7 linked regions of the Rattus norvegicus genome follow. The protein of the gene in region 3 interacts with the protein of the main gene of each other region in a biochemical or structural test. Links are inferred from orthologs where the notes say so. Each region holds a gene or a part of one and is shown on either strand. Other genes may lie near its edges.

The links.
Region 1: the proteins of Rbx1 (region 3) and Ube2m form a complex in vitro, tested with the Homo sapiens proteins (15 studies listed by BioGRID and IntAct, with this or other methods). The link is inferred for Rattus norvegicus from reciprocal best matches to the Homo sapiens genes RBX1 and UBE2M.
Region 2: the proteins of Rbx1 (region 3) and Cul5 form a complex in vitro, tested with the Homo sapiens proteins (4 studies listed by BioGRID and IntAct, with this or other methods). The link is inferred for Rattus norvegicus from reciprocal best matches to the Homo sapiens genes RBX1 and CUL5.
Region 4: the proteins of Rbx1 (region 3) and Cul4a form a complex in vitro, tested with the Homo sapiens proteins (6 studies listed by BioGRID, with this or other methods). The link is inferred for Rattus norvegicus from reciprocal best matches to the Homo sapiens genes RBX1 and CUL4A.
Region 5: the proteins of Rbx1 (region 3) and Cdc34 form a complex in vitro, tested with the Homo sapiens proteins (84 studies listed by BioGRID and IntAct, with this or other methods). The link is inferred for Rattus norvegicus from reciprocal best matches to the Homo sapiens genes RBX1 and CDC34.
Region 6: the proteins of Rbx1 (region 3) and Ube2g2 form a complex in vitro, tested with the Homo sapiens proteins (3 studies listed by BioGRID). The link is inferred for Rattus norvegicus from reciprocal best matches to the Homo sapiens genes RBX1 and UBE2G2.
Region 7: the proteins of Rbx1 (region 3) and Ube2f form a complex in vitro, tested with the Homo sapiens proteins (2 studies listed by BioGRID). The link is inferred for Rattus norvegicus from reciprocal best matches to the Homo sapiens genes RBX1 and UBE2F.

Annotation. Positions count from the first base shown.
Region 1 is NC_086019.1:82,735,499-82,739,491, reverse strand, and holds the start of Ube2m (NEDD8-conjugating enzyme Ubc12), read left to right. Parts: upstream 1-1,193; 5' UTR 1,194-1,766; coding exon 1,767-1,875; intron 1,876-2,871; coding exon 2,872-2,966; intron 2,967-3,060; coding exon 3,061-3,099; intron 3,100-3,192; coding exon 3,193-3,296; intron 3,297-3,601; coding exon 3,602-3,665; intron 3,666-3,752; coding exon 3,753-3,893; 3' UTR 3,894-3,993.
Region 2 is NC_086026.1:62,914,633-62,917,571, forward strand, and holds part of Cul5 (cullin-5), read right to left. Parts: intron 2,202-2,939; coding exon 2,078-2,201; intron 1-2,077. UniProt on the Homo sapiens protein: Core component of multiple cullin-5-RING E3 ubiquitin-protein ligase complexes (ECS complexes, also named CRL5 complexes), which mediate the ubiquitination and subsequent proteasomal degradation of target proteins.
Region 3 is NC_086025.1:114,869,812-114,873,778, forward strand, and holds the start of Rbx1 (E3 ubiquitin-protein ligase RBX1), read left to right. Parts: upstream 1-1,167; 5' UTR 1,168-1,172; coding exon 1,173-1,250; intron 1,251-3,727; coding exon 3,728-3,806; intron 3,807-3,967. UniProt on the Homo sapiens protein: E3 ubiquitin ligase component of multiple cullin-RING-based E3 ubiquitin-protein ligase (CRLs) complexes which mediate the ubiquitination and subsequent proteasomal degradation of target proteins, including proteins involved in cell cycle progression, signal transduction, transcription and transcription-coupled nucleotide excision repair.
Region 4 is NC_086034.1:83,114,458-83,117,957, reverse strand, and holds part of Cul4a (cullin-4A), read left to right. Parts: intron 1-2,108; coding exon 2,109-2,212; coding exon of another isoform or gene 2,213-2,213; intron 2,214-3,500. UniProt on the Homo sapiens protein: Core component of multiple cullin-RING-based E3 ubiquitin-protein ligase complexes which mediate the ubiquitination of target proteins. As a scaffold protein may contribute to catalysis through positioning of the substrate and the ubiquitin-conjugating enzyme.
Region 5 is NC_086025.1:10,670,808-10,674,918, reverse strand, and holds the start of Cdc34 (ubiquitin-conjugating enzyme E2 R1), read left to right. Parts: upstream 1-1,311; 5' UTR 1,312-1,329; coding exon 1,330-1,506; intron 1,507-3,706; coding exon 3,707-3,793; intron 3,794-3,893; coding exon 3,894-3,991; intron 3,992-4,111. UniProt on the Homo sapiens protein: E2 ubiquitin-conjugating enzyme that accepts ubiquitin from an E1 ubiquitin-activating protein, and catalyzes its covalent attachment to other proteins by an E3 ubiquitin-protein ligase complex. In vitro catalyzes 'Lys-48'-linked polyubiquitination.
Region 6 is NC_086038.1:10,985,444-10,988,060, reverse strand, and holds part of Ube2g2 (ubiquitin-conjugating enzyme E2 G2), read left to right. Parts: intron 1-539; coding exon 540-658; intron 659-2,325; coding exon 2,326-2,466; intron 2,467-2,617. UniProt on the Homo sapiens protein: Accepts ubiquitin from the E1 complex and catalyzes its covalent attachment to other proteins. In vitro catalyzes 'Lys-48'-linked polyubiquitination. Involved in endoplasmic reticulum-associated degradation (ERAD).
Region 7 is NC_086027.1:99,292,187-99,296,314, forward strand, and holds the start of Ube2f (NEDD8-conjugating enzyme UBE2F), read left to right. Parts: upstream 1-1,328; 5' UTR 1,329-1,446; intron 1,447-1,684; exon of another isoform or gene 1,685-1,856; intron 1,857-4,128. UniProt on the Homo sapiens protein: Accepts the ubiquitin-like protein NEDD8 from the UBA3-NAE1 E1 complex and catalyzes its covalent attachment to other proteins. Together with the E3 ubiquitin ligase RNF7/RBX2, specifically neddylates cullin-5 (CUL5).

The sequences.
Region 1 (3,993 bases), on a different chromosome or scaffold from region 3:
GAACTGTGCCATGCTGGGTGGTGCAAACGCTGTCAGTCAGCAAAGAGCCTTTATAAGAGCAGAACATAGTCCTAACCTGTTCCGGTCATGTTTTTCAACAGCGACTCTGGCTTCTGGTTTCCTAGATGACAGCCAAAGTCACTGGCCCATCCTGAGCTATTATTTTCTTCTGCCTCCCAAGCACTGTGGTTGGATGCAAGCTCACTGAACAAGTTAATCAAGAAGCACAGTGCCACTTCTGCTGGTCTCTAGATCGCAGTCGTAAGCCCTACCTATACCAACGTCAACCTCGGACCCTAGAACTACACGGTTGCTCACGTCTGTTACACAACAGAAATTTAAGGAACAAGGGTCTCGATGTGTTGCCTAGGGTGTCCCTGAACGCCTGTTCTCTCTCTCTTTTTTAAAGATTTATTTTTATTATATATGAGTACACTGTAGCTGTCTTCAGACATACCAGAAGAGGGCATCAGATCTTATTACAGATGGTTGTGAGCCACCATGTGGTTGCTGGGATTTGAACTCAGGACCTCTGGAAGAGCAGTTGGTGCTCTTAACCACTGAGCCATCTCTCCAGCCCTTAACGCCTGTTCTCAAGCCAACTTGATACCTCAAGCCTCCAGAACAATTCGAGTTTTTTTTTTTTTTGTTTTGTTTTTTTGTTTTGTTTTTTTTTGGTTCTTTTTTTCGGAGCTGGGGACCGAACCCAGGGCCTTGCGCTTGCTAGGCAAGCGCTCTACCACTGAGCTAAATCCCCAACCCACAATTCGAGTTTTAAACTAGTTCCCATCAATCTGAATCTGGGATTGCGGTGGGATTAAAGGGGAGCTTGCTTCTGCACCCTTAGGCAACGTTCCTTACAACGTCCAGGTTCTGCCTTTGCTGAGCCCTCAAGAGGGCAAGGATCCAGTCTAACCTGGTAACCTGGTCCCGCTGAGATCCGCATAAGTGCAATATTGAATAGAACCACCAAGAGCCAAACAGCCACTACCTGCCTGGTTCAAAAATGGTTGCAAGCACTGCTTCCTACTCTCCTGGGTGCGCATCCCAGGAAGTACCCGATGGACCGCCAAATAGTCACCTCCACAAACGGAAATACCCGAGCTTAACCGAAGAAAACCGAACCTCAAACTACAACGAGGAGCAAGCAGGGGGGTGGGGTGGGGGCGCTGCAAGAGTTGCGCAGGCGCAGAGCGCAGCCGAGCCAGGAAAAACCGAAGCGGACAGACGACGGAAAGTGCCGAAGCGGCGGGGTGCCCGAGGCCGTTGCCGACCTCCGCATCGAAGCCGCGCCTGCCGCGGAAGCTGAGCCTCCACCGGTACCCTGCGGTACCCTGCCGCCGCAAGCGCGGCTGCCGCCTCCTCCTTCCACCTCACCGCAGCCTCCTAGCAAAGGGAGCAAGTAGGCGGGAGAGCGGCGGACCGGTAAAGGCCGGCGTCCGCAGCCGCAGCGGGGACTCACAAGACCCGAGCGGAAGAGGGGGAGGAGGGCGCGGGGGCCGTAGCAGGGGCGGGGCCGAGGATAGCCGAGTCCTCCCGAGCACTTCCGAACACACCCGAGGTGCTAAGCCAGGCCAGAGCCGGACTACGGGAGCCGAGGCGGGCCGTGCGGTGGGCGCGGAGCAGCGCGGCAGGCCGGGCGGGCGGCAGCGGAGGAGGCCGCGGTAGCGGGTCCGAGGAGCGGAAGCGGCGCAGGCGGCGGCGGGGGGCCGGGTGGCCGGGGTCCCGGGCCCCGCGGCGGCTGCGGCGGCGGCGGCGGCGGCAGGATGATCAAGCTGTTCTCGCTGAAGCAGCAGAAGAAGGAGGAGGAGTCGGCCGGCGGCACCAAGGGCAGCAGCAAGAAGGCGTCGGCGGCGCAGCTGCGGATTCAGAAGGGTAGGGGTCGGGACCCTGCGTTCGAGGTCAGGGACCGTGGCGTGAAATTGCCACCGCTGATATTTGGTATCGAGGGTCAGAGTTCGAGGGTTGTGATACGGGACGGGGTGGGGGGGTGCGGTCACTAGGGAGGGTCAGAGATTGGGGCCGAGTATGGGGCGTTGGGATATTTGGGCCTGGAGTGTTAGGGACCCGGAATCTGTTAGGGGAGGGGTATAGTTTGGAGAGTCAGAGGGGAACTTTGCTCTGGGGTGACGGGCCGTGAAGATTGTGAAGGTTACGAATTGGGGATAAGTAGGAGACGGTTTAGTGTTTTATACTGGGGCTGGTGGTCCAGGACTCAAGTCCAGGGGTTTAGGCAGAGTGGTTTTGAGTTTGAGGTGAAGGGGGGTAGAGAAAATGACAGGAACTTTAAAAAAAAAAAAAAAAAAAGGAGTTTGGGTCAATTTAAGCTACCATGCTAGAAATCTCAAGGATCAGATGGGAACGTGGAGTAATCCGGAGAAGAGGGAGGACAGTGGAGGCTGGATACTTGATGGGAAGGTTGAACTTAGTGTTGTGGGGGGAGGTGTCATGGTCCTTGAATAGTGGTGAACTGGTAAACAGTCGTGAATGGAGATAGTGACTAGAAATAGAGAACCTCAGGTTTAAGGTACTCAGGGGTTCTTGGAAGTAAGGGTTATGGGAGTAAAGGTTCTTGGGGACTATGTTGTGGGAACTTGCGGAGGACTTGGGGTTGGGGGATAAAGGCTTGCCCTTTCCCAAGAGATGGGCATCCAGTTACACTTGAAGATGCTTGTATGTGGGATACCGTGTATCCAGAAGAGTAGAGACTGAAAAGTGGAAAGAGTAGTTAGTCCTATGGAGTGAGTTAAAGCACAGCACACAAAGAGCACCTCAGGTCCAGGAGACCTTGGGGGTTCTACTGACACATGTCCAGACCTACCTCCTTTCTTCTACCTGTTTTCTCTCCCTCTCCCTGCTGTGCAAACCTAGACATTAACGAGCTGAACCTGCCCAAGACGTGTGACATCAGCTTCTCAGACCCAGACGACCTCCTCAACTTCAAACTGGTTATCTGTCCTGATGAAGTAAGAGTAAAACATGGCAGGATTCCCAAGAACAGTCCAGGGGTGGCCCCCTAAGAGCAGGATCTTTATGCATTCTTCCCCCTTCCTCTTCCAGGGCTTCTACAAGAGCGGCAAGTTTGTGTTCAGCTTTAAGGTGAGTTTCAAGTGTACAAAGGTGGCTCTGTGGAGAAGACTGGGGCATAGCCAAAACACCCTCCCATCTCATTTCTCTTTTTTCTGGAGCCAGGTGGGACAGGGTTACCCACATGACCCTCCCAAGGTGAAGTGTGAAACAATGGTTTATCATCCCAACATTGACCTCGAGGGCAACGTCTGCCTCAACATCCTCAGGTGAGGGCACTGCCTTCCTTTCCCTCCCAAGGCTTGCCTTCTAGGAATCCTCTCAGCCTTTGTGGATGCTGCATCCATCTCTGTCCTTGCCTTTATGGTCAGTCTGGGTTTCTGTCTTCCTTTTCAAGTTGTTTTTCTAGTGACCTGACCTTGGCTTTCTCCATGACCTGCCCTGTTCCACATCTTCCCCCTCACTCTTCAATGTTAATGGCCCTTCTATGGGCCTGACCTGTTTCGTGTTAGCAGGGCCTGTGGCAACCTCCCACTCACCAGCCCCTGATAACCTTGATGCTCTCTGCCCACAGAGAGGACTGGAAGCCAGTCCTTACGATAAACTCCATAATTTATGGCCTGCAGTATCTCTTCTTGGTAAGTAGGCATAGACATTTGAGGCTGAGGGCTTGTTGGCCATCTCTGCCTCTCTTGCCTGTTGACTTCCACTTGTACTGGCCACAGGAGCCCAACCCCGAGGACCCACTGAACAAGGAGGCTGCCGAGGTCCTGCAGAACAATCGGCGGCTGTTTGAACAAAACGTGCAGCGCTCCATGAGAGGTGGTTACATCGGGTCCACCTACTTCGAGCGCTGCCTGAAATAGGGTTAGCAATTACCCATCCCTGCCAGGGTTACTGGCCCAGGCATCCCCTGCAAATATTTATTGGGGGCCCAGGTAGGGTGTGTGGGGTAGCCTTGGCCCC
Region 2 (2,939 bases), on a different chromosome or scaffold from region 3:
AAAAGTACAACCAAAAAAGCAGCCCTGTTAAAAGACTTTTTTTCTTTAATTAAAATAACCATCAGTTTGCAATTCATTAGAAGTTTTAAGAACTTGTTTGTTGTGTACACATGCACATGTGCCCATAGGAGAGCGCCTCTCGCTCTCTTCTACATGCGAAGGTTGGAAGACAACTGTGGACTTGAGTCGGTTTCTTCCTTACATCAAGTGAACTGCTGGGACTGAACTCAGGTTGTCAATTACACCACCTACCGCACGATCTCGCCAGCTCTGTTTCCCTGTATGTTGTATTCATTTCCGGGTAGTGGAGACGAGGAGAACGACCTCGCTAAGGAGCCTCTCTCCTTCTGACAGCGCAAGCTGTCAGCTTGCTGTCAAATATCTACGAACTGAGCCACCTTACCTTTCTAGTAATAAATATTTTTACCATGTTCAGAAGCCATCATAATCCTAATTTTAACACATTTTTCAAAGGAAAATATACCAGATAATGTTTCTTAGTTCTAAATAAAAAACATTTCCTAAGGGCACATTACATTTCAGAATTCAATATAGTTTTAAATACTTCAGTTCTGCAAGTTCTCAGCTGTGGCTGAGATACATGTACTCAGTAGGGTATCAAAAAGAGACATAAATAAAAACCAAGGTTTTATCCAAACAATACATCAGAACTTATTACAAACCTCCAATCCAAAAGAGCATTTCTGGTAGCAGAGAGAATTAACTAATTTAATTTTTAATTACTAATAAAATGAGCATTAGCTCTTATTTATGAATAAATGACTTTCGTGTTTTTTATCCACTGTTGGAAGGGTTTTGTTTGGTGTTTTGGAGGCAGGCTCTCCCTAGACAGCTCTGGCTGCCCCGAATCCTCTATAGGTCAGGCCTTAAACTCAGAGATCAGTCTGCCTCAAATTCCACAGAGTGAGGTTAAAAGAATATGTCATGGGCTGGAGAGATGGCTCAGAGGTTAAGAGCACCGACTGCTCTTCCAGAGGTCCTGAGTTCAATTCCCAGCAACCACATGGTGGCTCACAACCATATGTAATGGGATCTGATGCCCTCTTCTGGTGTATCTGAAGAGAGCTACAGTGTACTTGTATATGATAAATAAATAAATCTTTAAAAAAAGAAAATGTCACTATGCCCCATTCTGAATACTCGTTTTTTTTGTTTTTGTCTTTTTAAAGAAGCTTGAAAATTTTGGTCATTCTTTTTTTCCCCCCTACGTGGAGAAGTTTAATGAGAGAAGAGGAGAGGAGAGGAGAGGAAAGGTTGGCCATGGGACACGTGGAGGGAAGGGGGTGGGGGGTGGAGAGAGAAGGGACAGGAATAGAGGGGAAGAGAGCAGAGAAGCAAAGAACAAAGAACAAGAGAGAAAATTTGGTGGATGCTTCACTCCTTTAAAAGGGGAGCAAAAATATCCATAGGAGGGAATAGGGAGGCAAAGTTTAGAGCAGAGACAGAAGGAACAGCCATTCAGAGCCTGCCCCAAATGTGGCCCATACATATACAGTCACCACACTAGATAAGATGGATGAAGCAAAGAAGTGCATGCTGACAGGAACCAGATATAGATGTCTCCTGAGAACATGACAGCCAGAACATGTCAAATACAGAGGCGAATGCTAGCAGCAAACCACTGAACTGAGAATGGGATCCCTGTTGGAGGAGTTAGAAAAAGGACTGAAAGAGCTGAAGGGGCTTAAGACCCCATATGAACAACAATGCCAACCAACCAGAGCTTCCAGGGACTAAACCACTACCGAAAGAGTATACCTGGACTGACCCATGGCTCCAACTGCATATGTAGCAGAGAATAGCCTAGTAAGGGCACCAGTGGAAGGGGAAGCCCTTGATCCAGGCAAGGTTGGACCCCCAGTGTAGGGGAATGTCAGGGGGGAGGGCAGTAAGGGGGGGTGAATAAGGAGGGGAACACTCATATAGAAGGGAAAGGGGAGGGGTTGGGGGCTGAAGGACAGGAAACCGGGAAAGGGAATTAACACTGGAAATACCCAATGTAATAAAAATTGAAAAAAAAAGAGGGAAGTTGAACATTTTTTCTCCCTATACCAACCTGGGTTCTTAATATTCTTAGTTGAACTATTCCTTCATTTTCTTCTTCTCTCATCCGTTCTGTAGTGAGCTGCAAGCGTCCAATCAAATTGATTTTTCCCCTTTTCTGTACTTTTGCATTTTTTCTACAAAAAAAATCAAAAATGTTAAACATTTACTGCAGCACAATGTCTGAAGTTTTAGAAGCATCGTTAGACATTATCACTCAGAACTGTAGGAAAGTGAAGTGATAGCATGCAGCTTTACTCTGAGCAGTCCCTATGCCTATCACGGTGGCCCTGGTCTACAGTCACCTGCAATCCTAGTGAGGGAAGCTGCCCAGAAGGATCTTGATTGCTTTGAGGCTAGGCTATCTGTTGCAAACAAAATTTTTTTAAAAAAATGTGATCCTTCAAACAAGACCTAGCCTCTGATGACTAGGGACCAGATCCCTCAAAACATTAATTTCACTGCCACGAGAATAATAATTAAAGCAAAAGCAAAAAGGTTTTATACAGCATTATCTGATTGAATCTTCAGATAAACAGCTCTGCCTACATAAAGCTGTTTTACCCACTCCCTCTCTCTTTTGGTCTTTACTTTCAATTAAAAAATAAAATGGCATGTCTCCATCTGTGCCTAGAGCTGGGGCTGTCTCACAGCCCTCAGACCCAAAACCAGCCCAGAGACACCTGGTCTGCCATGAGCGCTTGCACTCCTATGCCCACAGGTGGGACTCCACTTTCTTTTCTACTAGCTATCCACAGAGAGACTCACCGGGAGCAAACAGGACATGGGAGCAACGGGGCGGCCTGCCATAGGACCCTTCTGGTCTTCATCTGTGCCCAGAGATAAGGCTGTCCCATAGCCCTCCACACCCAAAA
Region 3 (3,967 bases):
TAGGGAGTCTATTGACACATAAATCAATGACGATTTTAGTGTGGGAGGTAGAACTTGGGCCAACACACACACTCCTTGCAGGCTGTAGCAAGTCTTCTTTGTGCAAGTTAAAACTGTGGTGGTGTTTCCGGATGTATTGCCCTGCTCAGCAAGGACATCAACAGCACACTGAATTGCACGCCAGTATTTCTTTCAAGTGGGCATTTCAGATAAAACGTCATTGTTGTCCTGTTGAGGGAACTAGAACACATAAGAAGTTCGAGGGTGATGTATTCTAGTCATACCTCTGCAAATTTAGGAGATAAAACAGTGGAGGGCTGGGCTAAACATGGAAGCATGACAAAAGATACAGGTTCTTAGCTCGGTGGTAATGACCGGTAAGAAAATCAGAATGCCTCACCCAAATTCAAGTTTGGCCACTACAAATGTACTAATTTAACTGTAGCACAAGTAGCAAAACTCGGATGGGAAATGGGGAGAAAGGAGGATGGCATCTCCCAGGCTCCTACGTGTTCTCCGTGTCTTTCTGGTGAGAAGGTGAAGGCAGAGCTGCAGAATGCCTGCTCTGTTTGTTCCTGGGCAGAACATTCAGGCCTCTCTCTCCCTATCAAATAATTTCCCAAACTGAAGTTGAGAACGCAGACCGTGCCCGGGCCTTGGAAAGCCGAGTCACAGGGCCCCCAAGCCGGCCACGGTCAGCAGAAGGCCGTTTTGAACGTTTTGGAGTTTCGGGTTTCCACAGACCAGCCCATGCCCTTTGCACCGCGGCCTTGGGGGCAGCGCTGTGGGTCTGGATCAGGTATAAATTCTGGGGCAGAAGGAGGAAGCAGCCGCCGCCCCAGAAGAAGGAGTCAGGCCACAGGGTTTCCCAGAAGGCGAGCAGTATTCAGACCTCAGGGACATTCCCACCAGTTGGCTCCCTTCGCTCGGCCCCGCCCGGCTCCGCCCGGCCCCGCCCGACCCCGCCTCAATCACTCCAGCCTCCTCCCCAGCTGAGAGCGACGGGGAACCTCCGCCTGCGCCTTTAAGGGGCGTGACCGCAGCCTCCGCCCCTTCTACCCGCACGCGCCAATAAGGGGAGGGGTGCGAGAGGAGGAGCCTGGCGAGAGGGCAGGCGGCGGAAAGTGAGCCGATGCGCAGGCGCAGTGGTCGCACGACAGTGTGTTTCCAAAATGGCGGCGGCGATGGATGTGGATACCCCCAGCGGCACCAACAGCGGCGCGGGCAAGAAGCGCTTTGAAGTTAAAAAGGTTGGGTCTCGCCAGCGCCTTCCTCAAGGAATCTAGGGAGGCGCGGATATGGCTGGCAGGCCCGAGGAAGAGCTAGGCGCGGGGGAAAGGGCTTCATTTCAGGGCGTTCCTGGGACCGGGTACCACTAAAGGAAGCCGGGGGGCGGGCCTAGGGTTGATCGGCATGATGGTGGCCCACTGTCTTGGCCATATTAGTTTCGCTGGGAAAGCTGTGGGTCCAATCGCAGAGCTGCTTACTGAAATACGCGAGGTTAACTTCGGTGCGGGAGCCAAGCGCTTAAGCTGTCACTGAAGTGACTGAGAGTTGGGGGAAGGACAGGGTGGGGTGGGTAGGATGGAGACTCGTGAAGAGACTGCGGCGGGTGGAGGATGGGGCTGTGCGGAGAAACCCGGGAACGTGCGATGACACCGCAGAAGAGCTCTGCCGGTGTTCTTGCTCCGCCCCTTCCTGGATCCTAGAATCTATTGACTCCGAGGGACCTGGTGTGGGCCCTCGATTGTATGGCGGCCTCCATTAGCCTTCTAAACCCACAGTCTCAAGTGTAAAGCTTGGTTCTTCCGAGACGTGTACTAGTTGTCACATAGCTTCTGCCACTCCAATGGTTCTCTAATGCCCGTGTACACTTCTAACACAAAATGGTAATTTAAAAAGTCTGGTGGGCTTTGTTTTAAAAGCAAGCCCAGAACTTGTGCCATTTAAGAAGGCGGAGTACTAATTGTTAATGACCTGGGAACACAAAAAATATGAAACGTCCTTTTGTATTCTATTCCCTTCATAGTTTTCTAGCACTTTAAGAGAAAAGTGCCCGTTCCTACCTAAGATTACATAAATCTGCTCAAAATGAAGATCTTGAAGTGGGGAAGGTGTTTTTGGTTTTTTGTTGGTTTGTTTGGGGTTTTTTTTCCTTTTTGTTTTTGTTTTTTTTTTTTTTGTATGTATTACTTTTGGAAAGAGTCGCTGAGAACACCTCCCCACCCCACTCTTTTTTTGTCATCTCATTGTGGCCACTGCTGCTCAGTTACGGCCTGCAGCCATATGGAAGAATAATAGAAATAATGTCGAATTTACTAGACTCGAATACTTGAATTTGAGAAGTCAAACCAAAGTAGTCCTTGAAAGGGGTGTCCTAGGGGTTGGGGATTTAGCTCAGTGGTAGAGCGCTTGTCTAGCAAGCGCAAGGCCCTGGGTTCGGTCCCCAGCTCCAGAAAAAAAGAAAAAAGAAAAAAAAAAAAGAAAGAAAGGGGTGTCCTGCCCAGTGTAAGTCTTGGATCAATTTACTAGAACTAGCAAAATAATAGTTTGGACATATGAACGTTGGGAACATCAGTTTCCTTGGTAAGAGGACAAGAAAATTGCACTGGATTGACTTGCTTGCAGTGCTGTGAGGTGTAAGTGATGACCTTGTTCTGTGTGCTGACACTGGGTAGGTAACTCACTATCCAGCTTATCCCACGATTATCCCCTTAGCGATTGATCCATTTATTATCGTAGTTCAGTCTGTTCACCTCTCTTCCTCCGAGTCCAAAACTGCGTGGAGAGCAAATACTTAGGCAGATTTTGAGTTCGACCACATCTGTCAGGAACAGCTCCACATTAGTTCAAGTTTGTACTTGAAGCTAAAATGGGTGTTCAAAAAATAGCTCTAATATTCCCACGTCGGTTTGGCTAGCTAAATTATTTTATGCTATAGACCAAAAAAAAAAAAATTGGCGCGGTGGGGCTTGCCTTCCTCTTTCCGCCATCTTGGCGCCTTTGGAAGCCCACTGGGAACAGGACTTCTAAAAAAAACAAGTATGTCTGGAAGGCTGTGGTGCAAGGCCATTTTTGCTGGCTACAAGCCAGGCCTCCTGAACCAAAGAGAGTACACGGCTCTTCTTAAAATTGAAGGCGTTTGGGGTTGGGGATTTAGCTCAGTGGTAGAGCGCTTGCCTAAGAAGCGCAAGGTCCTGGGTTCGGTCCCCAGCTCCGAAAAAAAAAAAAAAATTGAAGGCGTTTATGCCCGAGATGAAACTGAGTTCTACTTAGGCAAGAGGTGTGCTTATGTGTACAAAGCAAAAAACAATACAGTGACTCCTGGAGGCAAACCAAACAAAACCAGAGTGATCTGGGGAAAAGTAACTCGGGCCCATGGAAACAGTGGCGTGGTTCGTGCCAAATTCCAAAGCAACCTTCCTGCAAAGGCCATTGGACACAGAATCCGTGTGATGCTGTACCCATCCCAGATTTAAACTAATGGAGAGTAAATAAATAAAAGTAAAAAAAAAAAAAAATTAAAAGTACCCATGTTCAGGAATGAGGAAGTGTACACGTGGTCTGCTGTTACCCTCTGATGTTGTACAAATAATGCAATCCAAAAATCATTCTTTCTTTGCTAGGCCCTATGGCCAGGGAGTTGGTAACTGAAGCCGCAGCTGAAATCCTAACGAGTCTGTTATGTTACCCAGAAAATGCATTGTTTCCCCTCTTCTCCTTGCAGTGGAATGCAGTAGCCCTCTGGGCCTGGGATATTGTGGTTGATAACTGTGCCATCTGCAGGAACCACATTATGGATCTTTGTAAGTAACTCGGGGCGGGTGGGAAGGCGTTGAGGAAGAGAGAAATGGCGGTCATCCTCGTGTGCCCAATTGTCTTCTTTACCAGTGAATACAAAGCAGGGTCAGAACCCGTAGGTACTTGAGTGTTTGAAGTAGATTGCATGTTGTTATTTTTGGAGACA
Region 4 (3,500 bases), on a different chromosome or scaffold from region 3:
TTCTGAAGACCTGAGTCTGAACCATTCAGGACATACTCCTGTGACTTACGTACTTGAATTTTGTCCTTTCGTCACCCTAGTACACATCAGAGGAAGACTCAGAGTGGAGCTCCACCTGAGAGCAAACTCCTCAGAGTGGCCTAGCTTCCAGGGAGAGGTCAGCTCTGGGCTGGAGTGTACAACAGAGCCGGAAGGTTCACCCCTGTCAGGCATATTAGTGAAGGAGGGAGCAGTGTGGGTCTGTGGAAAACCAAGTAACAGGATTGGCTAAAATGACATGGGAAAGCCCAGGGTGTGGTGAACAGGTCAGTATTGCTAGGACCACTTTGAAGAAGTCACGTACTAGTAGAGCATAAATTCAATACAAAAGCAGAGACTATAGCCTCTCTGACTTGTCTGTCCCACCAGAACCTGCCCTGGTCTAGCAGCCTCCTGCTCAGCTCTCACAGGTGTGTGTTTAGCTCTTACCTCAACCTTGAGTGCTAAGGTTGGGTTTGGAAGATGGTGACAGGTGCATGTCTCCTGAGAAGTTTCTGAGTTTCCTGTTGCCTGGATTTGAGTCCTGATTTCATTTTGTATTCTTACTTATTTCTCTCACTAGGCATCTAGAGGGGCCCAGTATCCCAGCCTCACTCTGAGTAGGGGGTAGTGCGGGGAGGCAGCAAGTTTGTATGGAAATAGTACCCCCAGGCCATCCTTAACACAGACAGTGCCACCAATCCTGGACTGCCATTGTGCATTACCGTCTTCTCATTTGAGTCCAGGGTCACCTTGGGTCCCACCTGTCATACCATATGTCTCTGTAGTGGCTGACTTCAGTTGTAACTAAGTACATGAGGAAGATTCATGTTAGTAGGTATGACAGCGATAGTGTGTCACAGCTAGGAAAAGTAGTTAGGACTGCTGACTCCAACTCAGGAAGCAGCACTCAGAAAACGCTCATATTAGGGGACTGGTGGTGCACACCCTTAATCCCAGTACTGGGGAGGCAGAGGCAGAAGGATCTCTGAGTTTGAGGCTAGCCTGGTCTATATAGCAAGTTCCAGGACAGTCAGAGCTACATAGTAAGACTCCGTCTCAAGAAGGAGAGAGAGAAAACTGTTGCACAAATGCTTTCTTGTGAAGGACGGCATACCAGCCACACAAACTGGACTTCTACAGAAAAGCACACAAGCATGGACGTGTATATAAAATCACTTTTTTTTCTGTACTTGTAAACATGGGCTGACTTATGCTGAGCTTCTGAGGCAGAGCTGACAGATAAGACGGGAAGGTACTTCGAGGAAAAGAGCTAAGGAAAGTCTCTCTGTTCCCTCTCCTCGTTAGAGATCATTTCTTTTTACACTTCTCACGTGAATAAGAGTCTGACATGTATATGAGATTTGAGAGAGGTTTAATATGAGTGATGAGATTATATTCTTTCAGTGGGTAGAAATAATTTTTTTCCTGTAGGCTGTTTAAAGTTGCCTTTTTGCTGGCTGGTGGGTGGTGCTCATCTTTAATGCCTGCACTTAGGAGGCAGAGACAGGCAGAGCTTTGAGTCTGAGGCCAGCCTGGTCTACAGAGTGAGTTCCAGGACAGCCAACGCTGAGAAACTCTGTCTCAAAAAAACAAACAAAAGTTGCCTTTTCTTCATCAAGACAAAATAAATGCATTCTACATCAACAATCAGTAAAAACACAGGGAGCGGAGCAGCCTGGCCTGTCACTCAGGAATCACAGGTCTAACACTCACACAGCTGGGCGCTCCCTCCTGCCACTGCCCAGGTTCACATGGCCATTTTTAGGATATATGTGTGCCCCATTTCAACCTAGAGAGTCAAAAAATGGCCACATGACCCAAACTAACCTCACAGCCCTGGTCTGTGCAGCCTGACAGGGCAACTCCTGAACCAGGGCAAAGCTTCACACCTGAGGTGCCAGCCCCCAAGGAACAGTGGGTGCAGGGTATGTCAGTCTGAGCCCCTCACTGCTGGCACTGCTGGCCATTGCCATCAGTGTGGGTGGCACAAGTGCCCTGACCACCCGAGAGGGCTGTACTGCAGGTAAACGCAGGGCTTTCCAAGAGCTCTGACGCGCGCTGAACAACCACCCTCTCCTTTGTTGTAGGCTGTTGAGAATCTGTGCTCTCACAAAGTCTCCCCCACGCTCTACAAGCAGCTGCGGCAGGTCTGTGAAGACCATGTCCAGGCCCAGATCCTCCCCTTCAGAGAATATCCTTTTCTTGCTTTGCTTTTTGTGCCTCATTTATGACACAAAGCTTTTAAAACTAGGATAAAGAACTGATGAATATCCTCAGTGTAAAATAATGGGTTTTAACTCTTTTTTTATAGAACAAGGGGCCTTTTGTTTCATAACTCATTATAATGGTTTTTTTAAAAGTGAAATTTGTCACATTTAAATAGTTGATATGAGTACTGCATCTAATTGGAACATTCAGGGGAGTTTTTAAAAATGTCTTAAAGTTTAAGTTCTGTTCTTTAATTAAAAATCACCTTATTTTTTATGATATGTGACAAATCCCCACAAATATGGCTGTCATACCCAGCTTATTTTCTTGGGGTGTGCCTGTCAGGAATCAGGATACAGCCCCTTGCTTTCTGTCTCGGTGTCACAGGCCCAATCGGTGTGACAGGGAGGAGTCTCATCTAACGGGGCGTGGGGGGGGAGCTGTAGGAACAAGGTCCTGCTTACCATCTGGCCATAGTGGATCTGGCGTAACCCTGAGGACTGCCCCTCCGGTCCTTGCTGCATCCACTTTCTCCTGGTGGATCGTGCACTCTGGGCAGGCAGGAGAACCTGCCTGTCCGGCCTGAGACTTCCTCCAGGGACAGGACAGACAGAGGCGGGCTGGCTGTGTCTCCCATTAGGAAGGGAACAGTCGGCCTGTACTGCACACAGGGCTGCGCAGAGGCCATCTTAGGTTTGCTGCCGTGTCACCTGTCACTCATGCCCACGAGTACGTCTGTCCGACCTGGCCTCGGGCCAGTTTTAAGCGCACAAACTCTGTTGTGTGTAAAATCCATGTTGACTTCTTTGGCTCCATGCATTCATGTCTAAAATAAATTCCAGAACCTTTGTATTCAAGATTTTCTCCTGATTCAGGAAGTCTTTTTCCCCCTCCTGGGGACACTTGACCCTGCCAGCTGTGCAGACCCTGTTCATTAAACACAGCAAGCAAGTGTGGCTGGACACCGAGCCTCTGGGAGGTCTACTACACAGCTTCAGTCAAGATGCCTCTTGTGTTCTCCGTCAGCATTTTGAACCAACGACTGCAAGATTAGACAAGAACGTGGTGACCAGATCCCTGGAGAACTTGCTCACATGCATCTCCTCTCAGGACAGAGCTGTGAGGCGCATGGAGCTTCTGCCCCATCGGAGCCCTGGAGGAGACTGACCCTAGGCTGAGAGTGGTCAGCAGATGCCACCTAGGACATGGCACCCAGCACTGTTTTGCTCTAACCCCACTTTGCTGCAAACGGCTTTTTTACTTACTTTAAT
Region 5 (4,111 bases), about 100 Mb from region 3:
GGCATTGGATCCTTGGCTCTTCCTGGTCACATCAACCAGCCCCACCTTTGACACTGTTTCCCTATCCCCAAACAGGTCTGCCTGATATCCCCAGCCAGGACAGGATGTTGGCACACCTGTGGGGGGTTACGGGGCGGGGGAGCTGCCTTTTCCCAGCCCCAGTTATTGATGCAGCTGTAGTCCTTCAGGACACCCACAGTCCAGCTGTGTGAACAACACAGCCTAGGGCCAGAACCACCCACCCCTAGAGGTCACGGGTACACCACACACCTGTCTGCAAGGCTTGAATATGCTGCCACCTCAATACTCATGACCAAATGTCCAAGAAAGGAGTGTGGGTGTCTATGCCGGTCAACCTCGGGGACTTTGCGTGTCTGTTCCCGCTCCTGTAACTTTCCAGGATGCCTCACCACTGCTTAAGCAGGACTAGGGTGTGGTCAAAGGACAGCCTGACATGAGAGTCCTCCCAGGGTAGAGGTTAGCACTCCACCCGCTGGAAGCCAGGTCTGCAAACCCCAAATCGTCGATTCTGTGGGCCCTCCTTCTACCTGAGCCCATAGAGACAATATAGGGACATCCATAGCTTCATGATGGGAAACTAGGGCGGATCCTGCTCCGCTCCCGCACAAGCCACGCCCAACTCCCCACCCACAACCACGCCCCCTTGACGTCACAGAAAAGGCCCCCAAAGCCGCAGCTGCCACTCCGCAGCGCGCAGCCCAGCCCTGCCCGCCACTCCGCACACAGGCATCCGCGGAGCTCTTCCGGCCGGAGGCGACGGCGGCCTCCGGGGCTTCGGAAACGCAAGGCGCCTGCGCGGCAGGGCGGGGGAAGAAGACTACACTTCCCGGCGTGCCCCGCGGGCGGGCGCGCAGACACATTCCGGACCCGGTGGAGGCGTCGCACAGGCGCATTCTAGACCCGGCAGTGGCGCGCAGGTGCATTTCCGGCCCGGCAGCAGCGGCGCGCAGCCGCATTCGGGGCCCGGGTGTGGCACGCAGGCGCATTCGGGGTCCGAAGGAGGCACGCAGGCGCATTCGGGGCCGGGAGCCGGTGCGCAGGCGCATTCGAGGCCCGGCGGCTGCGGCGCGCAGGCGCGTTAGGCGCGGGCCGGGCCGGGCCGAAGCGAGCGCCGGGCGGGCAGCGGCGCCAGAGCGAGTGGAGCCTTCGGGGTCCCCGGGTGGTGGCGGCGGCGGCGGCGCAGAGGAGGAAGGCGGCGGCTCTCCCCCTGCCGGCGCGCGACCCGGTCCGTCCCGCGAGCTCGCGCCGGTCCCGCGGCCCGGCCCGGCCCCGGCCCCGGGCCCCTCCGCCGCCGCCGCCGTCACCGCCATGGCCCGGCCGCTGGTGCCCAGCTCGCAGAAGGCGCTGCTGCTGGAGCTGAAGGGGCTGCAGGAGGAGCCGGTGGAGGGCTTCCGGGTGACGCTGGTGGACGAGGGCGACCTGTACAACTGGGAGGTGGCCATCTTCGGACCCCCCAACACCTACTATGAGGGCGGCTACTTCAAGGTGAGCCGAGCCTCAGTTTCCTCTTTGTGCCTGCCTCTCTCCCAGGCTGGCTCAGGCCCCTCGTGCAAAGCGGCCCCTCCCTTTTTTGTTGGGCACGTGCTGACCTCACCCCGGGGACTGGTCTCCCTATACTGTTCTCCAGCAGGCTACATGACCAGAGACAGCTAATGTATGCCGCACCCCCAGGCAGACCCCCACTACAAGACGTAGGGGCCTCTAGAGCCTGCTGCTGGTCAGTGTGTTCCCAGGCTGTCGTGCACTGGACTAAGCATGTACCTGGGGATGTATCTCCCCGTGTTGTCCCCACTCTTCCAACATGCTTCTGGTGAAGGGTCTCCCCAGGGACAGTTGCTGGCCTTCTTGTTCCGGTGTAGTTCTCCCCACCACAAGACGCAGAAGCATCTGGAGCCCTCTGCTGGCAAGCATGTTCCCAGGTTGTCCCTCACCCCACCAGCATGTGGTGAAACCTGAAAAGGTTCACCTTAGTTTGTCCATATCTCAAGACATAAAGGACCACGGGCAGCTGCTGGCTGACATCCCCAGGCCTGTCCCCTACCCTGGAACACAACCAGAGCAGCCACTGGCCGATGTGTCCCCAGGGAAGAGACGTGTAGCCTGGACAGCCACCTGCTCCAGTTCCAGTAGAGGCCCTGGCAGGGCCTTGGCAGCCGTGCCTGTTGGACAACAGCCACCTTTAGCACTGGCCAGGCTTCACGTAATGCATTCAAGGGGGTGGTGGGGGCCCACCCTGAATCTTGGAGCCACACCTTGGGTTCCTGCCAAGGGCCCTGGACCCTAGAGCTCTCTGTTTGCCCCACCCTGACAGCCTTTCTCAGGTTCCACTGAACAGGTGGAGTCTTAGGGGCCTGATTTTTCCTTCTAAGGGGTGTCGTCTGCCCTCTGGTGGCTTCAGGCTCAATGCACCAGATGTTTTTGTGGTTGGGAGCAGGGAGGCTTAGGCAGCCCCCAACACTGAGTATGTTTGGCCAGGTATAGGTACCCATGTCAGCACAGTTGAATCATCCTGCCTGCCATGGACTAGAACTAGCAGAATCACAGGATCTTATGTTAGGGCCAAAGGTGCACGCAAACCCCAGCCAGTCTGGGGCCCCAGATGTAGGGCCGTGGCACTTATTTGTTCTGCGTCTTCCTTTGTGGCTGATGTCCTCACCCTTCTTGGTCAGTGCTTAGGAAAGTCACAAGTCTCCTTATGCAGGGGAATGTTTGAGTTAGGGTTTCCAGGTACAGCATGTGGAGAACGGGAGGGAGACACATGTGGACACCCTCGCTTCCCACCTGGAGGTGGTCTGAACTGAGCCGCCTTCAGGACATGCAGATGCTGTTAGCACCTTGTCTCCTGTGTTTGCGGGGGGGGGGGGGGGGGTGCTCAGAGCAGGGTCACCTGAACTCTTCCTTGCCCGTAAAGGATTGTGGGTAGAGCCTCCTAGGCTCACATTGTTCTTGAGGTAGCTTAGGAGGAGGCCCTGCATGATGTCACTCAAATCCGCCAATGTAGGAGCTTCCTATATGGTGTGAGTGACTGAGACGTGGGGAGTCTCTGTAGGAGGGGAGCTGTGAGGAGCTTCTCTGGACAGCCCAGCCTGTCTCACTTGAGAGAACCCTTCCTGTTCTGAGCCTCAGTCTGCTCATTCTTAGAAGCATCTGGAGCCCCAGAAGTGTGGGGTGTTGTTCCAGCAATGCCACCTTCCCCATCTGCTCTCCTGAGAGGATCGGGGTGGCAACTCCACACTAGGTTTGTGTGCGCCAGGCAGAACACTGGAAGCTGTCCTTGGGGAGCTCCAAGACTAGGGCAAATCTCAGGCCTTCTCTATCTGTCCAAGGTCGGGGCAGTGGGCAGGGTGAGCTTCAGCCACAAGCAGTTGCTGTGACCAGGCAGATGGTTCCAGCTTGTCTGGTGACTACTCTTGGCCTGGGCCCCTGAGCTTGGGTGGTGTTGGTGGGAGGCCTGAGGCCAGGCAGACCTGCTGACTCACTCCTCTAGCTAGCCCACACCTTTCCTAACCGCCTTGCCTTTCCTAACCTGGATGTCAAGTCACAGAGGTGTGCTGTGTGTATACTGGTGTACAAAGACTGGAGTTGGCTTCAGGGCCTGTACACCAGCGGCAGGTGGGCACAGCCCCTGACTCCAGCAGTGCTCGGGGGCCTGCCATTGAGCCACCCCATTTTCTGCCATCTGTAGGCTCGCCTCAAGTTCCCCATCGACTACCCATATTCCCCACCAGCCTTCCGGTTCCTCACCAAGATGTGGCACCCAAACATCTATGAGGTAAGACACTAGAGGCCTGCTTCAGGCACACTCCACCACACACTTCTCTGCCTCCCTTGCACATGCCCCACCCCTCCTCTAACCCTGGTCACTCTTGCAGACAGGGGACGTATGCATCTCCATCCTCCATCCCCCAGTTGATGACCCACAGAGTGGGGAGCTACCCTCAGAGCGGTGGAACCCCACGCAGAATGTCAGGTGAGAATTGCCATGGAACTGCACCGTGGGCACCCGCAAACACCCTGTACCCTAAGATCCACCCTTCCCTGCTCCAGTCAGGGGTTCCCAGAGTCTGGGGAGCTGAGCTTGCACCTACGG
Region 6 (2,617 bases), on a different chromosome or scaffold from region 3:
TCCTATTCCCCTGCCTTCAGGTCTCAGTGGGCATCCCTGTCTCTAGGACTTGAGCAGGACTTCCGTGGCTTGGTCCATTTCCTTTATTCACGTACTAGGAGACGGCTGGTGCAGATTGGAGTCTTGGGGCCTGGTAGGGTTGCCGTGACCTTAGGCTGCTGCACACTGAGCGGGGGCTGAGGGTCACATGTGTGCCCTGTGTGTTCCTTAGTCCTCCCCTGTGAGCACAGAGACTCTTCTTGGTTACAGTCTGCCAAAATTGACACCTCGAATCCTCACAGGAGTGGGGCCTCATGCCCACAGTCACCCCTGCAGGACCTGCCGTGTGCCTGAGTTTCTCTGTGGTGCAGTTCCTGTGCGAGGCTCTGCGGCTGAGCTTCCGGCTGTGTTTGTGCCTCAGGCTGAAATGGACCGACGTGGACTCTCCAGGGAGAGAAAGCAGCAGATTTCCCACGAGCCAGTTTAGGCCGTGATAGTGTCCCTCTCCCACGTCTGAGTCATGGCTGGCGTCGCAAATGTGTCTCTTTCCTGATTTGCAGGGGCCCTGAAGACACTTGCTTTGAGTTTGGTGTTTTCCCCGCCATCCTGAGTTTCCCACTTGACTACCCTTTGAGCCCTCCGAAAATGAGATTCACCTGTGAGATGTTCCATCCCAACAGTAAGTGTGACTGACTGCGGCTGACAGGGCAGCAGTGCCACACAGCTCTACAGTGCTCTCAGCTCTAGCTGTGACAGATGAGTGATGGTGTGAGCACCAGAGTGCCACGTTGAAGGACAGCTTAATGTAAAGGGGAAAATGTGTGACCTCAGCACTGGCTGTTTGTCAGCCGTCCTGTGTTAATGGGTTCACTGGAACTTTCAGGCCTTGAGTGCTTTGTGTCCTTCCTTGGCCTTTGTCACCGTGTCATTTTAATGGTGGAAAATTGGAATTGGGCTGGAGAGATGGCTCAGTGGTTTAGAGCACTTGCTGCCCTTGCAGAGGACCCAGATTTGGTTCCCAGCACCCAGCATTGCTCACAACTGAGGCTCCAGGAATCTGGTACCTCTGCTAGCCTCTCTGGAGCCAGGCTGTCGTGCAGTACACAGACATACACAGCATACTGTGTAGTCGTGCACATGAAAAGTCGGGAGCCAGCCCAGCTGACCTACAGCAGAGTAGAGGGCTGCTGTAGTTAGCCTGGACGTGGACACTGAGGATATGGTAGAAATCCCTAGAGGCTCGATTGCTGTTACTCGGGTTTGCGGGGAACTGTGTAGGCTGGGAAGTAGGGAGTACTCAAAGCACTGGTACTCTGAGTTCCATCTCTATCTGCGAGGGGCCATAGTACTGTCAGTGACTGTGCCCTGACTGGGAGTAGGGGTTTCTTCCTTCCTTTTACTAGTAGGTTTTGTACATGGAGGCTCAGGATTGCTCAGGATGGCCTTGAACTCCTGATCTTCCTGTCTCTGTCTCCCAAGTGCTGAATTCCATACACATGTGTCCATGCCAGACTTAGATAAGAGAAATGGACAGTGCGTTGTATTTTGAATGATGGCATTAGGATAGTGTTCCTTCTTGTAAATGTTTTTCATTGCCACAATAGTCTTGATCTTTCTGCCTGTGGAGCTAAATTCAAGTAGGGTATTCTATTTTGTAAAAATAAAACATTCACTTATTAGACACCAGGGTTCTTTTTCAATTTTATTTTATGTGTACGGGTGCTTTGCCTGCATGTCTGTCTGTGTAACAGACAGAGGCCAGACAACTGAGTCAGATCCCCTGGAATTGGACTTATGGATGATTCTGAGCCATCATGTAGGTGTGGGAATCGAACTCTGGTTCTCTGGAACAGCGGGCAACACTTAACTTCCAAGCTGCCTCTCTGGCCCAAATGGACGTTTTTGTATTTTGTAAACGTTAATTTTGAACCTGGTCTGGTGCTAAGTCCTTCCCCCCTTTTCTCAGGACTTGAGGGGTTTCGCTGCCTTGCCTCTGCTCTAGCTACCTGGACATGGACTTTGCTGCTGGTGGCTCTGCAGCCCCGTGCAGTATCTTGAACTCTGGGAACTTGAGTTTGGAATATTCGTCCACACATCTTTCACTTCCTCCTTTAGGTGCTCAATGTAACAAGGTAGAATCCAGTTGTGACTGCTCAGTGCTAGACAGACCTGGTCCCAGGCCCCCTTGTCAGTGACCACAGGACCTGATCAGTCCATGACAGGTCTGGTCTGCTGCTAGCAGCCCGGGATCCGTGCCAGCAGGAAACTCCTGTTTCAGCTGTGCAAACAGCCGGGCCTGTGTCTGTGGAGCTTCCCCGCACAGTGACACGTCTCTGACTTTTGCAGTCTACCCTGACGGAAGAGTGTGCATCTCCATCCTGCATGCCCCAGGGGACGACCCCATGGGCTATGAGAGCAGTGCCGAGCGGTGGAGCCCAGTGCAGAGTGTGGAGAAGATCCTGCTTTCGGTGGTGAGCATGCTGGCAGGTGAGGCTTTCCCGAGTGTGAGCAGACGCAGGAGTATAGATGTGTAAGACGGGCCAGTAGATTCTCAGGTTGTTGGCTACAGTTTGCTAGTCTCTCACTGTGATTTGTTGGGGCCACTGAGAGTCCCAGAGCAGGGGTATAAAGCTCAGTG
Region 7 (4,128 bases), on a different chromosome or scaffold from region 3:
CTAAGATTAAAGCTGAGTGCCACCATGCCCAGCTGCCTTTTACCCTTCATATCTGTGCACAAGTGTGTATCTGATGTATGTATCTGATGTACGCACACGTGAGCCCGAGTAACGTGTGTAGCTATGTATGTGCTACATCGGGTGATCTAAGGATAACTTTCCTTCACTTTTTTGTGTTTAAGACAGATTTTCATTAAGTCACCCTGGCTGGTTTGGAATTCTATGTAATCTAGGCTGTTCATCGCAGGATCTCTTTCCCTCTACAGGGTACTTGGTCCTAATCCTCTGAGGATTCCTCTGCCTAGGCTTCACATCTTCCCACCTGAGTTTGGAAACAGGTCCTCATGCCGACAAATGCTTTACTCACAGAGCCCAATTGCCTTCTTTCGAAAGAAATTTTAGGATCTAGGGGCCATGTAGCTCAAGGGTAGTGTTTTGCAGGTGAGACTTCTGGAGTTCGTTCCCCAGAACCACAAAGAAAATAAATGAAATCTTAACATTCCTTGGTCTTTTCCACAGCAAATATTCTCTTTTCAAGGCCCTACCTCTCTAGGAGTCTTGCCTATTTCTCTCAGAGTAGAAGATCTCCAGTCCCACAGGGACAGAGAATTCATACCCCATGAGCTGCAAGAAGAACGCTGCAAATGGAACTACAGGGCCTTACATATGCAAAGCAAGTTCCCCCACCACTGCTATACATCTAGGGGCCTGAAGCGTATTTTTGAGGCAGGCTCTTTCTACGTATCTCTGGCTGTCCTGGAATTTAATATGTAGACCAGGCCTTCCTCTGTCTCTCGGGCGCTGGGATCGAAGGTATGCCCCCCAAACTCCAGGCCTAAAGCAGATTTTTAAAGTGCACATAGGAATACTAGGAACAGGAGAAATTAAAAAATAAGAAGCAGGAAGAGTGCCCTCACATCCATCAGCCACCTGATGCAATCTGCACCTCTAACAATCCCGTAGCCCTAATGCAGCTGCAGACAGGTCGGATCGTTTGCATTCAGGACTGGTGCTGGGCATAGGGCTATAGCTCCACCAGCAGGCACTGTATTAGTGTGGTACACGGAAGGATCAAGCGGCTAAATGAATGGAAACAAGCCGGAAGGCCGTGTGCCGGGGTCCTGGACGCAGGTGCCTCCATGACCAATCAGTAAAGGTTTTGCCACATGGCCTGTCCTCAGGTCGTGCTCTCCACCAATGAGCGACGGTCACCTAGTTGGCCGGTGTACGCGACTGTCCGCGCGTGGAGCTGCCAATAAAGTTCTTTATAGCTTTGAATTTTTTTTTTAAAGTGACCGCTGCGGTCACGGCGCAGTCCCCGCCCCGCCACTTCCGGTCCCGCCGCCGGGAGCCGGTGCGGCTGTGAAGGCCAGCGCGACTCGGTGCCGCTGCTGGCCGGGCATGATTTTGGGTGCCGGCTTGCCTCGCCTGACTCGCGGTGCTCAGGTGAGCTGGTCGCGCGGGCTGGGCTGAGGCCGCGGCTCCTCTCGCCGGGCGCCACGCGGGACCGCGAGATCGGCGGCTGACGGGAAGCGCTGGGCGGGCAGCGAGCCCCCGCGGCTCTGAGGGCCGGGCCGAGGCGGACCCCGTGCCGCCGCCCGCAAGGTCACGGTCCGGAGCTCGGGCCGTCCGGGAGGCCGAGGCCGCGGCGGGGAGGCCGCTGTCCCTGAAGGGAGGCGGGAGGTGGACACAGCCCGCCACGGCGAGGGCGGGGAGGAGGGGCGGCCGGCCCGCCTGGCCCGGTTCGGTCCCTGACCCGGTTCCGCGGCGTGTCACCTGGGGTGTGGCCTTCTCTCCAGCGGGCTCAGTTTCCTCCGTCTCCGGTGGGCATTGGACCCCACTCCTCGGGGCTGCCGGTGGGTTGGAGTTGCTGAAGGCGGCTTCCTGGAGGGGAGACTGGCCTGTGGGTAGAAATCTGCTCTCCTTAAGAACCTGGTAGGGCTTGGCGGTGAAGGGAAAGAGGGCATCCCAAGACCTGGTTATCAGATTGAACAGAAGGTTCCAGAAATGAGCAGGGTGGTGTTGAAAAACAGTGAGGTGGCTGGTGGGCCTGGTGCCGAGGCTTCCTAGCTGTTTGGGCCGAATGTTGGGAGCTCGGCAGTACGAGAGAGACTCATAGGTGGGAATTAAGAGGGATAGTGATGGAGGGAACTTCAGGAACAGAATTAACCTGGACAGAATTAACTTGGCATTCAGTACCCAAAATCAAAGATGAGTCCGGAGGCGGTCAGTCAATAAACCGGGTTAGAGGCCCTTGGGCACTCATGCTGTACGATACTGGGGTGCGGAAGTTTTTAAAGTCTCAGTCTGAGCGCTTGCCTAGCAAGCGTAAGGCCCTGGGTTCAGTCCCCAGCTCCGAAAAAAAGAAAAAAAAAAGTTTAAAGTTTCAGTCTGTTTCTTTAGACTTGAGAGGTTAGGCATCCTTAGTAGCCCCGTAGTCCTCTCTTAAATGGCTTCGATTGGAACTGTCAGTGAGGAGTTAGCCTCACCTTGAGCTGCCTGGCCCTGCCCAGGGGACATCAGCTTGATTTCAGCACAGCACATAGGAATGCTGAATAAACATGATTTGGTGAGACTGGTAAATAACACACTACAGTCCTCTTTGGATGGCCCAAAGGCTGGTCCCACCCAGAGGAGGAACTAAGTGGGCCAATTACAACTTGTGGAATTTGAAACTCAGCATGCTGTTCAGAATAGCTGATCTGTTCCCAAGATACTGCCTTAGTCACAGTGTGATTTTTTTTTCCCCCAAGAAAAGGGAAGTTTTGGTCAAAGTGGGGTTTTCTAGAGGTGGGACATGTTGAGGAGGGAAAGAGAATTCAGAGGTAACTTCTACCCTTTTGATAGTTCGAGTAACTGTTTTTGTTTGATCCCCTTGTGTAGATTTAATTTTCTGATTGTGGGACATTTCCAAATTGAGACTTTGGTTTATTCCCTCACATGCTAGTGAAAGTGATGCAGATGATAGATAAAATAGCGGATACTCTAATCTTACTTGCCTTAGAGTATCAGAAAGTACGTGTTGGGTTTTCTGTGGAGACACCACCAGTGTTGTTTTCTACCTTGCACAGTCTTCACACAACATGTCCTACTGGAAAAGCCTACAGCTCACTGAAGATTACAAGTTAGAATCCACACCACACAGAGTAGAGCATGGTATGCCCATCCTCTGCCTCTGAGGGTGTGAGAGCAGTAGGCAGAGCCCTTGGACTGCAGTGGCAGGTCTAAGCAGCCAAGTGCAGGTTTGCAGGGTGTGGAGCAGCTTCTGTTCTTCATTTTCCAAGAAGCTGTTGTGACCACTAGGGACTGCCTGCTCAACCCTTAACCAGTGCTTTCCCGTTTCACTTTCCACCACTTGCCTTAGTGATACCAAAGGTGAAAACCTAATGGTCCTCGTGTGGAACATCCTCACTGGTCCCAGCAGTGTATAGGGTTGTTGTCTTGGACATTGTCAGACACCCCTGATGGCCCAAGGTCTGAGCATGGAGTGGTGGACTTAGACTTGGCCAAGGTGGGAAGCACTAACTCATGATCCTGCTTGAGGAATTTCTGACAAGATCATTCCAGGCGGCAACAAGGCAGGAAAACATTGTTACGGTTCTGCTGTTTTGGGAGCTTGTGGGCTGGAGTCCCTCTGGGGAAGTGACTTAGCGAAGACTGGAGGATGTCTGTGTTCTGACAAGGCTCATCTTTTCACATAGATGCCCCTAAGGAGAAGCTATTACAGAGTAGGACTGAACTGGCCCATCACTTCATGACTGATCAATGTTTGTATAAACTACACCATACCCACACTTACAACACATCTAAATGAAAACTAGTTTTTTTTGTGGTGAGTGCTTCTTATAGCTTAGTGTCTTGGACACTCATCCTCCAGGCCTGTTTCAGGAGGTGTGTGTGTGCATGTCTGCCAGTGTGCATTAGTGTTAGGAGTCTTTCCCAGATTTCAGAGCTATGAGCTTAAGCATACTGATGTGCAATACAAGAATTGTTTGGTACATTTAGACAAATGATACTTTCTGATTTTATTTTGGTATTTTTACCTTCCTTTTCTGATACATCTACTGTAGCCCTGACTAACCTCCAACTGACAGTCCTCCCTCAGCCCCCCAAATACTGATGTTACAG